Linked DNA regions of Drosophila melanogaster. The gene in region 2 interacts genetically with the main gene of each other region. Each region holds a gene or a part of one and is shown on either strand. Other genes may lie near its edges.

Region 1 (4,992 bases), on a different chromosome or scaffold from region 2:
GCCCCAAGCCACCCCCCCCCCTTTTACTTCCACCCATATTTTACCCATATTTTCCCGTGCTTCCCCCGACTTTTCCCACCTCCCAACTTGTTGGACTTTTGTAACGGTTCTGGCACTGGCTGTTCATCAGGCTGCAGTCGCAGCAGTTCGGCTTACACACAATTTACAAAATAACCTCAATCCACCCACTCAATCTCGCATTCCCGCGCCCCGCTGGAAAACTGCGTCCCTGCCTCGCAGGGGCCCTTCACTCAGTCACTCAGTCAGCCGACTGGGAGAGTGTGTAAATTGTCTTGTGTAAATATGCAAATTTTTCTTATTTTCATACCCTGAAAGGGAGTCGCACTGCTGCAACAAGAACTTTACAAGCCTCTCAGGAAAATGCAGCCGCACTAGTACTGTTTTATGAAGTAAAACTAGTAACTTTGGTAAGCACTTTTTTGTAAGTGCTATTCAGAATATGCTCAACTGTATAGGAGTTGTATTAAACAAATGCGACTTTAAAAATATTTAAAGAGTTTATTCAGCATTTCCTTCAAGCAATTTTTTTCTACGAAGGAAATCCTTTGAGATGTATCTATTTATCTAATGAAATTTAAAATATAATTTTGCCAAATCATTATAAAAATTAATATATATACTCCCGATTTTTTCCTAATCCATTTAGTTTACAAGCTCTAACTTGATTTTCTGTTTCATAATAAGATTAACTGAAATATTATATACTCTTGCATCGTTTGAGTTCACATTTTTTAATTTAAAGTTGATATGGTCTGCTTTTTACTTTATTTTAACTCATATAATAAGAGTAACTTTCTTAAATCATCCTAATTTCTACCGAAATAGATTCCCATCTATTTTTAGGCACTTTTCGTGCAAGGGTATTAAGCGTATCGACTTCCTGGGGTGTATCCTGTCAATCCTGTTTTTATTGTCAACGTTGTTGTTATTGTCTGGAGTGTGGATAGGGATCGGGGGCGCTGTGGGCGGGGCGCTGGCAGTTCGTGTAAACAAACCAAGGCGTCGGATTAAAAAGTTTTGCATTACAAAGAGTTTTCGGTGGACGGACGATGGGGACGGAAGCTTGGGAAAATGTTTTGATTATTTAACTGCAAGTTACGATAAAACTAATTGCAATTACAAGCGGACTCTTTCCCTTTATGGCCCCTAATGAAATTGGCAATGCCAAGGCTGACGATTCAGCACAACTCAAATCAAACTCGGACGCAAACTTCGCACTGCAATTTTATTGGCCCGGTTCAATTTGAATGGTTTGCTTTCTTTGTTGGCCTCTGCATAAATTTTCCTCGGGCAATATTGATTTCCATTACAAATCCAATATTAAACTATGCCCCTGAGAGCGATTACTCGATTCCTACCGTTTTGCTTACTTACTTAAACCTTTTGTAACTCAACGAAATTGAGGACATGGCCAGGACACGGCCAGGATGCACCCGGCCCACAGATTTGTAGTTATTACAAAGGATCATTAAGAGCGTAGATATATTTTCCCTTTAGACTTGTCATTTAATCTCTGGAAATATTTACTACACATTCCTACCTCATAATTTGTCAAAATATTTTTGGGTGCCTTTAAAAACCAAATTTATGTTGGCCGGGGGAGATGTAAGAGTACTCAAATATATTATTGAATATAAATTGGTAACACGGATTAGCCAGTTTGCAATTGGCCTTGGTCTGCTGAACTTCTGAATAAACTGAATCAAATGCAGATGAAGTAAACTGATATTTGCTAATAAAATATAAGAAACTGAAATTTGAATTGTGCTCAGCCAACTTTAGGTTTTGTTGTAATTTAATTTGCTAGTTAAAAGTTTTCGAAGATTTTGTTGTTATAACTGAACCGAATGTTTCTTAGCAGTATAGTATTCTTGCAAAACACCTCAATGTGGTTTAGAAAAATAATTTATTGTAATTTAATTTAGGTATATCTTAATTCTGTCAGTAGATTCTATGATTTAATTTTCTAAAAATTCTTTGTAATTATTAAAGGTAAATAAGGACCATATATTTGTCTGACCTGTTATTAATTATTTTATACATCTGTACTGATGTGAATGGATGAATATTTTTTAAATGTGTTAACGTAGTGAATTTTCTTGCAGTACCATAGATATTAACTGCTTGGATACTCACTCAAATATTTTAATATATTTATTTTATATTAAAACTTGGAAACCCCAACGTTTTCGAACCTATCTAACATTTTTAAATATAAAACCTAATTGATAAACACGTACTTCATAATAGATAGCACATAGTGAGAATGCACTTTAAATATTTTTAGAACCCACATTATAAAATTTTCAAAAGACTTAGTTAAAATAAATATTTATACAAAGAAAATGAGCAAACAAATGTTTTTTTTTTAATATTGGTTTTGTACCTGTGCCCTTAACGTATTCCACAAAACCACTTAATACAATTTGAACAACATAAAATCTGCTCTCAGAAGAGCATATCACCTGCACTTTAAGTAACTTTACATAGGAATACCTGGCTCTTGTTGGCCGGGAACACAGACTCACCTGCTTTTATTTGACCTTATGCGGCTGCAACTTGTTGACTTTAATGAAAATGCACTCAGCAGAGGCTGACTGGCACACACAAAACGCTGGCACAACAAGTTAATATGTATTAGCTAGTCGCTAGTATGTCTGTAGTATCTTGGCTTAAAACGGCACTCGGTGAGACACCAACAGAAAAAAAAAGGACAAACAAAATCGGGCGGCACTCGCACACTCAAACGTACGCACACAGTTGCAAAACAAGTCAAGCGCGAAAGGACCGACTAAAACATGGCTAACATGTTTGGCTAATTGGCGTTTCTAGCGCCGATTTTTACAGCGCTCTAGCATTTATGTAAGCGGAATGTAAAACGCTTTACAGGACTTCAAAGTCTGGATTGGATTGGATTTGAATTGGAATGTTGTGGCAGGTCGTTCGGTATGTCGGCTGCTGATTTCCTTCGAAGGGATTGTGTGAGCTGTGCGTCCTTGCTGAAGGAGCCGCCGCGTCCAACTGACTGCTGCTGGATGTGCAAGCTGCGATTGTTGCAACGACTCTGCTGTCGCAGCACCAACGAAACGCAGCAGCAGCAGGCGCAGCACGGCGACAGCAGCAGCGTCAAAGGCAAAAGCAGCAGCAACACATAAACGCAGTACATGGTGGGTTCGGTGGAATACATATACATGCTCGTTGCTGCCGAAGTCCTTGCAGTCGAAGGGTTGTGTAGTTGCACTTGTAGTTGCTCGTGTTGCAACACACACAGCAGCAGCAGCAGCAGCAGCAACAGCAGCAACACGACATCAACTTCGGCCCACATTGTGCAATTGGCTTAGTTCCCAGTCAACAACTGGCCGCCTTTACAGTGCCCGTTTACAGCGAAGAGAAATGCTCTCGATATCCTTGGCTGCTTTCTCTCCGAGGATTTTCTCGAACAGCTGTTCGCGCTTGCCGGCTCTTATCAGTGAAATGGTAACAGCTCCTGTTAGCGTGCAAATGCACTTTTCTTTTCTTGGCTTTCCGCAGTGGCATTTCTTTTCGTTTCCTTCCTCTTCCTTGCCTTACTTTCATTTCCGTTCCTTTCGGTGGGGTTTGATTTATTATGTAAAAGTACAAGGACACTGCCACATACAGTGGGTACTCAATTAACTAGCTTTAGAAAACGAAAATATATATATTTTTAAAAAGGCAATGTTTACTTTAAGTAAATATTAATTGAATATAATATGATTTCAATACGAATAGCAAACATAAGTAGGCAACTTAACGTTAATAATTGATGAGTAGGGAAAACTAACAAACAATTTATCAAAAATGTATTAAATATATGCTTTCGCTACGATCCCGATTACAGGGTGTACACTGTACCTGCGGAGCTGCGTGTGCGTGCCAAGTGTTGGACAAACAAGCTGAGCACTAAAGCCGGAATACATTTGAGACTCTTGCAATCGACTTAATACGCCGCTAGAAGGGGGCACGATACGGCCTCATTGCCCCTACGGGAATGACAACCAATATGAAAATGGATTACCACAAAATGCAAATTGCGAAATGGCCAATTGATACCAGCGTCTAGCCACCTAATCGTCCGATTAAACCACCTTAAAATCGCAAAGCAGCCAGGCATTAATTACACGAAGTAAATACACCGACTCGGTTTACTCGGCAATGATAAAATCTATTATTAGAGAGGCCGAGTGGAAAGTTTTCCACCAACCAAGCCAACCAACGTTTGCTGTTGCCAACCGGCGTTGTTAGCAGAGCGCTGCTAAAGGACCTCTGTTAACTGGGCCGGCACGTGTTTCTCTCTCGCACGCACACAGCGAAGCGGATTTTTTGATTCTGTTTTGATTAATAGCTTCGTTGCAAGCTTATCAAGCGCCCACACACACACACACACACACACACACAAGCGCGCGGCCAGGAAGTGCAACAATGTCACGTGGCCGGCATTTGCCGAAGTCTCCTCTCGCCAGGACTCGCGCTCGCTCTCATTTCGAGTTGCCCCCATTTTCTCTCTCTGTAAGGCCTGCGCTGTTTACAGCAGTTAACTTTTTTCCAACGCCCTGCAATCGAACATGTTGCAACTATCCGTCTCTTTTGCGCATTTCCCCAGCCCATCGCAACAACAACAATAAACGAAAATAAACAAAAACAAATATAGCACGAGCAGCAAAAAATCGAGTATTACATAAGTCGGTGCTCCACCTACGCGAATTGGAATATAGTGCTGGCCCTATGTGACTGTCCTATATGAAAGATCGGGTATTTTGGTCGGTTCCTCGCTTTTGGCGAATGAAAACTGCGAAAATGCATTGTTCGTTTTAATTGCCAAGGAGCCGGACTTAACTGCCACCCAATGTGGCATGCATTTCGGGGGCTAAACGACAGACGAGGGGAATCACCGATTTGAAATTAGCCAGCAATGAAGCGTAATCAAAATATTATTTATTCATTTTTGTTTGC
Region 2 (8,216 bases):
TCAATGTTACGATCGACCCTCGCGCGGTACGCCTTAAACGCCCAACTCTCGGCTGGGCGTGGTCGTGGCCATCTGTCCAGTATTACTCCCGGCCGGCGGCGGGGTCACTAAACTGGGCAGCAACTTGTTCAGCAGCGTGCGAATGGCAAAGGTGACATCGTGATTGGCGAAGCAGAACAGGAAGGAGACCACAAAGCCCTGCAGGCTGACCAACACCACCGATAGCATCTGATAGAAGTGGTCCAGCTGGGTGCCGGCATCCGGACGGTAGGGCAGCAGGAAGTGTTGCAGTCCGAACAGCGGTACCAGAATAATGGTGGCCCGAACCGCCTTCCGGATGGCCAACGGTGCCGGCTGGGCGGACTGGGGATGTAACTTTCGCACGATCACTCGCAGTACGTTGATCAGAAAAACTGTTGGGTAAAATGCATATAGCTGAGCAATATTGTACTTTTAAAGAAAATTATGCATATTACTAAAGCTGGCCAGCAGCGAAAGAGTTATGGGCACCGAGAAGATCCACAAGTAGAGACTGTCAGTTATCCAGCAGCTGCAATAATGTGAAAAGAAATGTTACCATGGATATAGCGTAGAATGTAATCTCTTAATAAATGCAATGCAAAAACCAAATCAATCAGGATTATGTCTTGTGTAAAATTGTGAAAATAACTTACTGCTTATTGTCCGGACTACTGAAATGCCTGGCCAGACCGTAGACGATGGCTATGGGTATGGGTGAAAACCAGCTGATGACAATAAACCAGCGCATCACAATCGTGTCCTTGACAAAGACCTGGCGAATGGAAAGAAGAAGGGGCGTCAGGATCTGAACGGACATTCCTGACATCTCAACTTGACGCAGACGTAAAGCAGTTGGCCAACGTTGCGATTTGCTCTCAGACAAATTGCTGGGGGTGAACCATTGCCATGTCAGCGGCTGCAGGAAATCACATCTGCCATGCACAGAAGTCGCCCATAAAGAATGCAGACTTGTGCAGGCAATTGCCAGATTGCCAGACGAGTAAGGATAACTCACCACAACGAGCACCAGGTGCAGGTGCAGGCCCTCGCAAAACATCCAGAAATAGTTGACCAACATAAAGTAGTGCACCACCAGATGCAGCCCAATGCACCACAGCTGAAAGTTAGTTATGTTTATGGTTTTGTATAATTGCCTAGCTACTTGTAGGGCTATGTTATTTTCATAGTTACTTTTCTCAGTGCATCTTACCGGATTTTCGGCTATGGTTTCGGAACGCTCCACCACCAGACGATACCATAATATCCAGGCCACACAGGTGCAGGCCAGCGAGGCGAACAGATGTACATGGATGCGGATGCGGGTGCAGCGCAGGGATCTGCAAACGGAATGGAACGGAACGGAAAGAAACGAAAAGGGATATCCGGCCGTCAGTTACCGGAGGGAAAGGAACCGTGTGGGTCGTAGACAAACACTTACTTGAAGCCCAAGAAAATAATAATCGATATGAGCAGGGCCAGCAGGGAGAGGGCATAACCCTTCACGTACAGCTCGTTGATGAACTGGCGAAACTGCAGTGGCAACTTTCTTGATTAATGCCCATGTACCACCCGCTTGATGCCGCCGAAGCACTTACCTCCAGGTCCTCATAGTCCACGCAGTTGGTGTAATTGGACCAGGTCTGATTGCTAACCGGATGACGGTACCAGGAGCCGTTCTCCAGGCAGCTATGAATGCGAAATGCTTACGATAATTGTGACTGGCTAAGTGCGGACTGATGGGTAAAGGGGGTATTTCTAACAAAGCGCCTGACAATGCACAAGTTACCCAACTTTACCAGGAGCCAGCTGAGCTCAGTTGGCGTGTAAAGTGAGATGAACGCTATCCATTAAATTGGAGATACATACATGTAGTGCAAGTTTTAGAGTGCTGCTACAGTACACTTAGGGAGATTATCTCTGCAAGAGTTGAAGAAGGTTTTATTTTTCTTTCATTTTCCATCATCTTTTTCTGAGATATGCTGCGAGTTTATGTAATAGACACGAATGTAAACTCTATAGGATTTTCCCTGTTTGTAGCGCACTCATACATAAACATTGTATTTTATGACACACAGAACACATTAAAGCAAATGCCGAATATGGCAAGATATTTTCGAATTTATGCTCAAACGAATATTACATATTGCAGAGCTTATTTGACCATGCGAAATCCTGAACGGAATGAAAATCTATCCTATTCGTGGTGGCGTAATATACAGGCATATTGGGCATTTAACTCACGTCTTGTGGGCCAGAAATTTTCTGTTGAATCCTTCGACGAAATCGGGACAATATTGACTCAGCACAGTGCCGGCCGGAGTCCTTGGCCAGCAGAGATATCCGTCAAAGTTCAGGGGGCAAAAGAGTCGGTTCTCCTTCTGATTTGTGGCCATCGTGGCACTGACGACGGTGGCCATCAGCTCCTCCTTCTCCGCCAGCTCCTCGTCCACGTTTCGCATGTCAATAACGCCCTCGTTCATCGCGGCATTCTCCAGATATCGCGGCACTGGGCTAAAGTTCTCCGGCAAATCGGAATCGTAGTCTGTGCACGGCGACAAGTGCCATTAAAATGGGTTTACTTTTTAATGTATAAAAATATAGCATTTTTAATAATAGTATCTATGGGCTGCATAACTGAAAGTGATGTAATTCAGTTTTCAAGTTCAATTCAATTGCATGCTTGCTTTACATATGTAAAATAAAGTGGTATTTCAAATGTACATAACTTGCTTAAGATAGTTAATAGATCATCGTTCTTTATAGCAGGGTATAATTCATAAATTCTGGTTGAAAATATATGTACATTTGGTAAAGGTGTTGAGTGCTATTTAAATTTATAAATTTGTCCTGAGATGCCAATGATTTGCATTGAAACGAAAACCCATGTTTAAATTTGCATCCCCAAGAAGTAAGTCAATGATTTTGTATATATTTAAATACATTACTTTGAAATGCATTAAATGAAATCAGATGGGCTGTAATTTAATTTAATTCTCTTCTCTTTCTTATCTGTCTTATGCCTCTGCTATTTTTTCGCGGCAAATCACGTATACGCCTGTTGGCCGCCACTCACCTGTTGCTGGGCCAAGTGAAAATGATGGGTCGTCCGTATCGTATGTGACATTCTGGTATCGGAACACGCACTCCGCATACAAATGCTTTAAAAATATGCGCAGATTATCCTGCGTTTGGGCCTGCGATGCCACATCCACATTTTGCGACTCCGAATCTGAAGAGGTTGTCGCCATTGTGGGTTATTCAACGTGACTAACTCTTGTCAACGGCTAATGCACTAAAAAAAAATATAATAATATAAATATAATTCAAAGAATTACGGGATAAATAGGATAATCAACTGCAATAATTTATCAGAGGCAATTTGAAAGGTTTTAAACAAGTGTTGCTTACCCATAGAAACTTGTATGAGCTAGTTTTTAAAATTTATTCTGATTTAAATATATTTTCTTATATTTAACATTAGTTCTCACTGTATTTCGCCATAGCGAAGCGAACTTGAGTCCCTTGTGGCCGTCCATTCGTGTGTGCATTTCTAATTTGGTTAGGCTTCAAAGAGTTGCCTGAGTTGGGTTGATATTTGTTGTGGGGTCCTGTCTGCGGGGAAATGGTGCCAAAGGAAATGGAATATCCACACGGGGCACACACACACACTCAAAATATCGAAGCACCTGAGTGTCGTGTGAGCCGAGTCACCTACTCGTCTCTCATATGTTGTAAATCAGTTTATTGTCTAATTAATGGCGGTGCTTAACTGTGTCGCTATTTCTGCTACCGTGGTTGGGCGAACTTAATTGCATTTCGTCGCACAGAGAGACAAAGCAAATGCCACGGGTTAAAAACTCAAATGAAATGCACTTTGATCGTGGGGGCACACAAACACACAAACACATAAACACACTCACACACCCGCACCGAACACGTGGCCCAAAAGGCGGGATGAGCTGCAAAGTTCTTGCCTAACTTGGTTATATTTTTAATCAAAACTCATTTCACTTGATTGAGTTTCGACAGAAGCCTGCACCAGGCACTGGAAAATCTAGCATGCACGATACATACAAAGTAAGATGATTTTCCCGCTCCCAAGCTAAACTTTAATTTGCGGCATTAATTTATTACACCGAACTGGGACAGTTTCCCATGATGGATATGACGCCTGGCTAAACATTCTTGCATGTTATATATATTTTTGCAAGTGTCTCGGCCAGGCAATTAGCCGCAGGTAAGCGGAGCATGACGATGGAAGGACCAAGGACTAGAGCGCCCTTTGTTGGCCATCAATTCAAATGGCTGTCTTGAAGCACTAATGAGCATTAATTGCATTCACATTCCCCCTCCTTTGAATTAAATCCATTGCAGAATTCCCGCTTTATCATTTGCTATGAGGCAAATTACACTTTAAGTGGCACTACGCTTATTCAACAGATTCCATTTCTCACGCTAGTTAAATGCGTATAAAGAAATACCGACTACAAATATGTTTTTACTAAAACAATTATGGCTCATCTAATAGCACAAAAAGTTAAGTATATTTTTTTTAGAATATTTCGCAATTACTTTTCGCTGTTAGTTAAAGAAGCATTTTGCAAGCAAGCTGCTCTCAGCAATAGTGAGAAAATGTAGCACTGACTAAACTAGACAACATTTTTACTTTTACTACTTTTTTACTTTTACTACAGCCAGTTCTAAACAATTTTAAATTAGATAAACTACTTTGCCCAACTATAAAATTTCCCTTGCCGTTTTGTTTTAACGACTACTGACTTGGCGAAAAAAAAAGTATGCAGGGAAATTACAAGAAAATCTGAAGCGCGCTGTGTGGCCAAGATTTTGCTCCACAAAACTAAGGAAATGCTTCAAGGAATACGCAAGCATCTGCAACATTTTTGGCAAATTGTTTTGTTTTGCATAGTTTTTGATGCTGAATACTTGGGGAGGAATAGCAGCCATAGGAATGGGGGAGCACTCATTTTGGAGCATTCATAAAACACAAATAATTTGAAAACGTTTGCTTGCATAAATTATGCACGATATTGAAATTTATTGTCAACAATGGGTGGCGAAAGAGAAAGGACTTATTTTTCTTTTGTTTTTTTGGCGACAGGACCGCCCGCTGCAAAAGATACAAATGGCCAATCAATAGGGGTGGGAGCAAAAAGCTGCCAGAGGAATAATTATATGTACACATGCTGAATATTGATGATGAATTGTTTTGTCTAGCAGCCTAGCACAAAAAAAAATAAAGAGAAATAAAATTAATAGAGGCGGTGGGAAAAGCCGTCAATGCGGTTAATGATGCTAGCGCCATTTGCAGGCCGGAAACGGAAATGCCACGCAAACCGACTAGCACACAAACACACACACACACACACACATAAACCAGGACACGCACTCGAAATGAAAGCGGACATGCGAAATAATGCCACATTATTCGGCCATTCTTGGCGGATCAATTATAATAACAAATTACTTCATCCACATCGCCTGGGTCACCAAATGCAATTACGCACGCCGGACTGGCCACGAATCATCATCCGGAATTCCAATCCCCCGGACGGATCTACTGGGCATAAAAGTTGCCAACCTTGCGAATTATAACACTCATTTCCTTATTTCCTGCCAATCACTGCCGTATTTTCCCTGTGTAGCGCAAAAACTTTTCGCATAAAACAACCGCAAATAGGATGGGGCTTGAAATCGAATTATTTATTTGTACTGTGTACGCAAATATTTAATTCGATTGTTTACTTAATTAAATGCTCGAAAATGAAGTCTCATGCGGCGCAGTAATTATGCTAATTATTTACTGAAATATTTTTTGTTCAAATATGTTTCAAAATTATATTCACCTGATATTCGCATAAAAGGTGTCGAGAATTTACGCAAAAACAGGTGCCAACAGATCACTTACATGGGGCCCCACAGTCAATTGAATTCATTCAATTGTTTGCCACTGCCATTCATTGAAAACTTAAACAATTGATTCGGTTTCAGTTCACCGCTCGTCACGTACAGCAACAGCACACAAAAACACAAAAAAAAAAAAATATATATTAGAAACACGGACAAAAAATGCGCTTTATGTTATCGGTATTCAAAATTGGCTGCTCCACTCCGATTTTCGCACCGCTCTGCTCCGCGTGCCGCTGGCAAATGGTACGGCATCCGGCAAAAACCGCCTGCCGATGTGGCTGGCAGTTTCCTCATATTTTCCCCATTTTCCCCATTTTCACGCCCATACACCATACTGGCACACTGAAGGAAATGTACGAAAAAAGAGAAAGTGAGAAAGTGGGTATTTGCATTAAAAAATATATATTTAAACTACAAATGTCAAAAGTATCTTCATCTTAATTTAAGTTCTAGCACACTTCTTCTAATAATATTTGGCATTAAAAGTGAGAATACATTATCGATTTTATTTGAATAGTGTAGAACTTATACTTTCTTTCAGTGTACGAGTACTGCTTTGCCGAACACTGCTTGCCAGCAACAAGTTGTCGGCGCACTGCTTCTATGCCTTTGTGAATTGCTTGTCGTGGGCGTGTATAACAGTTTTCTAGGTGGGCGTGGCGCACACAGCTGGGACCCACAAATTCCTAAGGACTTCGAATTTTGTTAAAGAAATTTATTTAACCCAACTGGGTCTATCCAATTAAAAATATATATTTATTGGCTTACTTTAATCGTGTTTTTATAAGGATAGAAGTAATAATAATATTTTAATATAATATTTTATTAATTTAATAAAATAATTAAAAAATCTATAGAAACCAATAAATTTAATTTTTAACTCGTTTATCATCAATACAATCTGTATATAATAAAACGACCTGATAGCAATTCTTTAGCAATAACAATTGGGCAAACAAAGGGTTAAGACTTCTCAAGTACAAGGATACTGGTGTTTGTTTCACTTTGAAACTGCAGTTAAAAGCATTTGATGCGATTGCAATGCAACTTTATTATTATCATGCAGTAACCTTTAAGATTCAACTTTAGTGAATACTTCGTTTCAGTTCACTTCAATTCTCGATTCATGTAAAATACCTCAGCAAACTTTCATAAAATTTATTCCTGAATAGCTGATGATGTCCTGCATAGCAAGCGTGTATAAATATTTTATGCGGTTATCTGACGTTTCTTTAGACAAAATTGACATCGACTTAGGATTGATAAAGAATTCTTTACAAAATGTAAGAGAATTTCATATAAAATGTATTTCACAATTAGCAGCACACAGTGTGGTGTGAAAATTTCTGGCTTCTCAGCTCGTAAAATGGCATGCCGCCCATAAAAGTGAATTTAAGGCAAATCGCCTTTGCAATATAATTTTCTGCACATGTCCGCAAATATATGTAAGTGCACTTTACTTTTATGAATGGTCAGGAGCAAGAACGAGATTGGGTACAAGTTTACACCTTTTAATTGTTTGCTTATAACATAGTATTACTTGGTTACCTGGCTTGTACTTAAAGTTGAATCACTGTAATTGTATAAGCCAAGATTGATTAAACTTCGGCTAAACTAAGGTAACATTTGGACCTTTGTGATTAATAAGCATTGTATTAATACAAGCATGACGACATTTTTTTATGCCACTCTCTTCAAAAGAAGAGTGCAAGATTAGTTAGGTCAGGTTCTATCGACATTAATCCAGTTAGCCACGTTAAGAACAATCTGGCGCCAGTTGAGCGAGCTTAAAGTGCTAGTTGGAGAGTTTAAACAGCGGCAAAGACAACGATTTTTTTGTTAGGTAATACCATATTACTATGGCATAGTGTCACCGCACTTCGGTCGCACGTTCCGTAGTGATAAAAGCCGGGGAGACGGGGTTTTAAACATAAAAAAAAATGCTCGAGAGTGATGTAAAGACCGTAATCACATGCACGTTCCAGACCCCATTTCTCAGTCGTGTCGCTGACCCATAAAAGCGGGGATCTACATGGTCAGCGACATCAGTTCCATCGGCAACATGTTCCATCCAAGGTCTCAGTCCAGCTCCTTAGCTCTACTCCTGACATTCGTCCTGGCTTTCGTCGGCGTTAAGGGGGACTACGATTGGTATAGTGATTATTCGGGCTCTGAACTTGACTACATCTTTGCGGATGTCAACTACGATGCAGTGTGCCCACCAGGTGGTTATGCTGTCTGCGCCACCGATGGCTATAGCTACCATC

Evidence for each region.
Region 1: of hec (region 2) and fru, changing one enhances a phenotype caused by changing the other (phenotypic enhancement), as found in Drosophila melanogaster (one study listed by BioGRID).

Annotation. Positions count from the first base shown.
Region 1 is NT_033777.3:18,542,564-18,547,555, forward strand, and holds the start of fru (fruitless), read right to left. Parts: upstream 3,024-4,992; 5' UTR 2,550-3,023; intron 1-2,549. UniProt on the Drosophila melanogaster protein: Probably acts as a transcriptional regulator.
Region 2 is NC_004354.4:12,951,271-12,959,486, forward strand, and holds the start of hec (hector), read right to left. Parts: upstream 6,193-8,216; 5' UTR 5,948-6,192; intron 3,314-5,947; 5' UTR 3,270-3,313; coding exon 3,095-3,269; intron 2,564-3,094; coding exon 2,263-2,563; intron 1,708-2,262; coding exon 1,617-1,707; intron 1,552-1,616; coding exon 1,460-1,551; intron 1,359-1,459; coding exon 1,232-1,358; intron 1,139-1,231; coding exon 1,037-1,138; intron 794-1,036; coding exon 675-793; intron 551-674; coding exon 477-550; intron 414-476; coding exon 34-413; 3' UTR 1-33. Other genes in the region: CG32642 (uncharacterized protein), read left to right, coding at 8,012-8,216.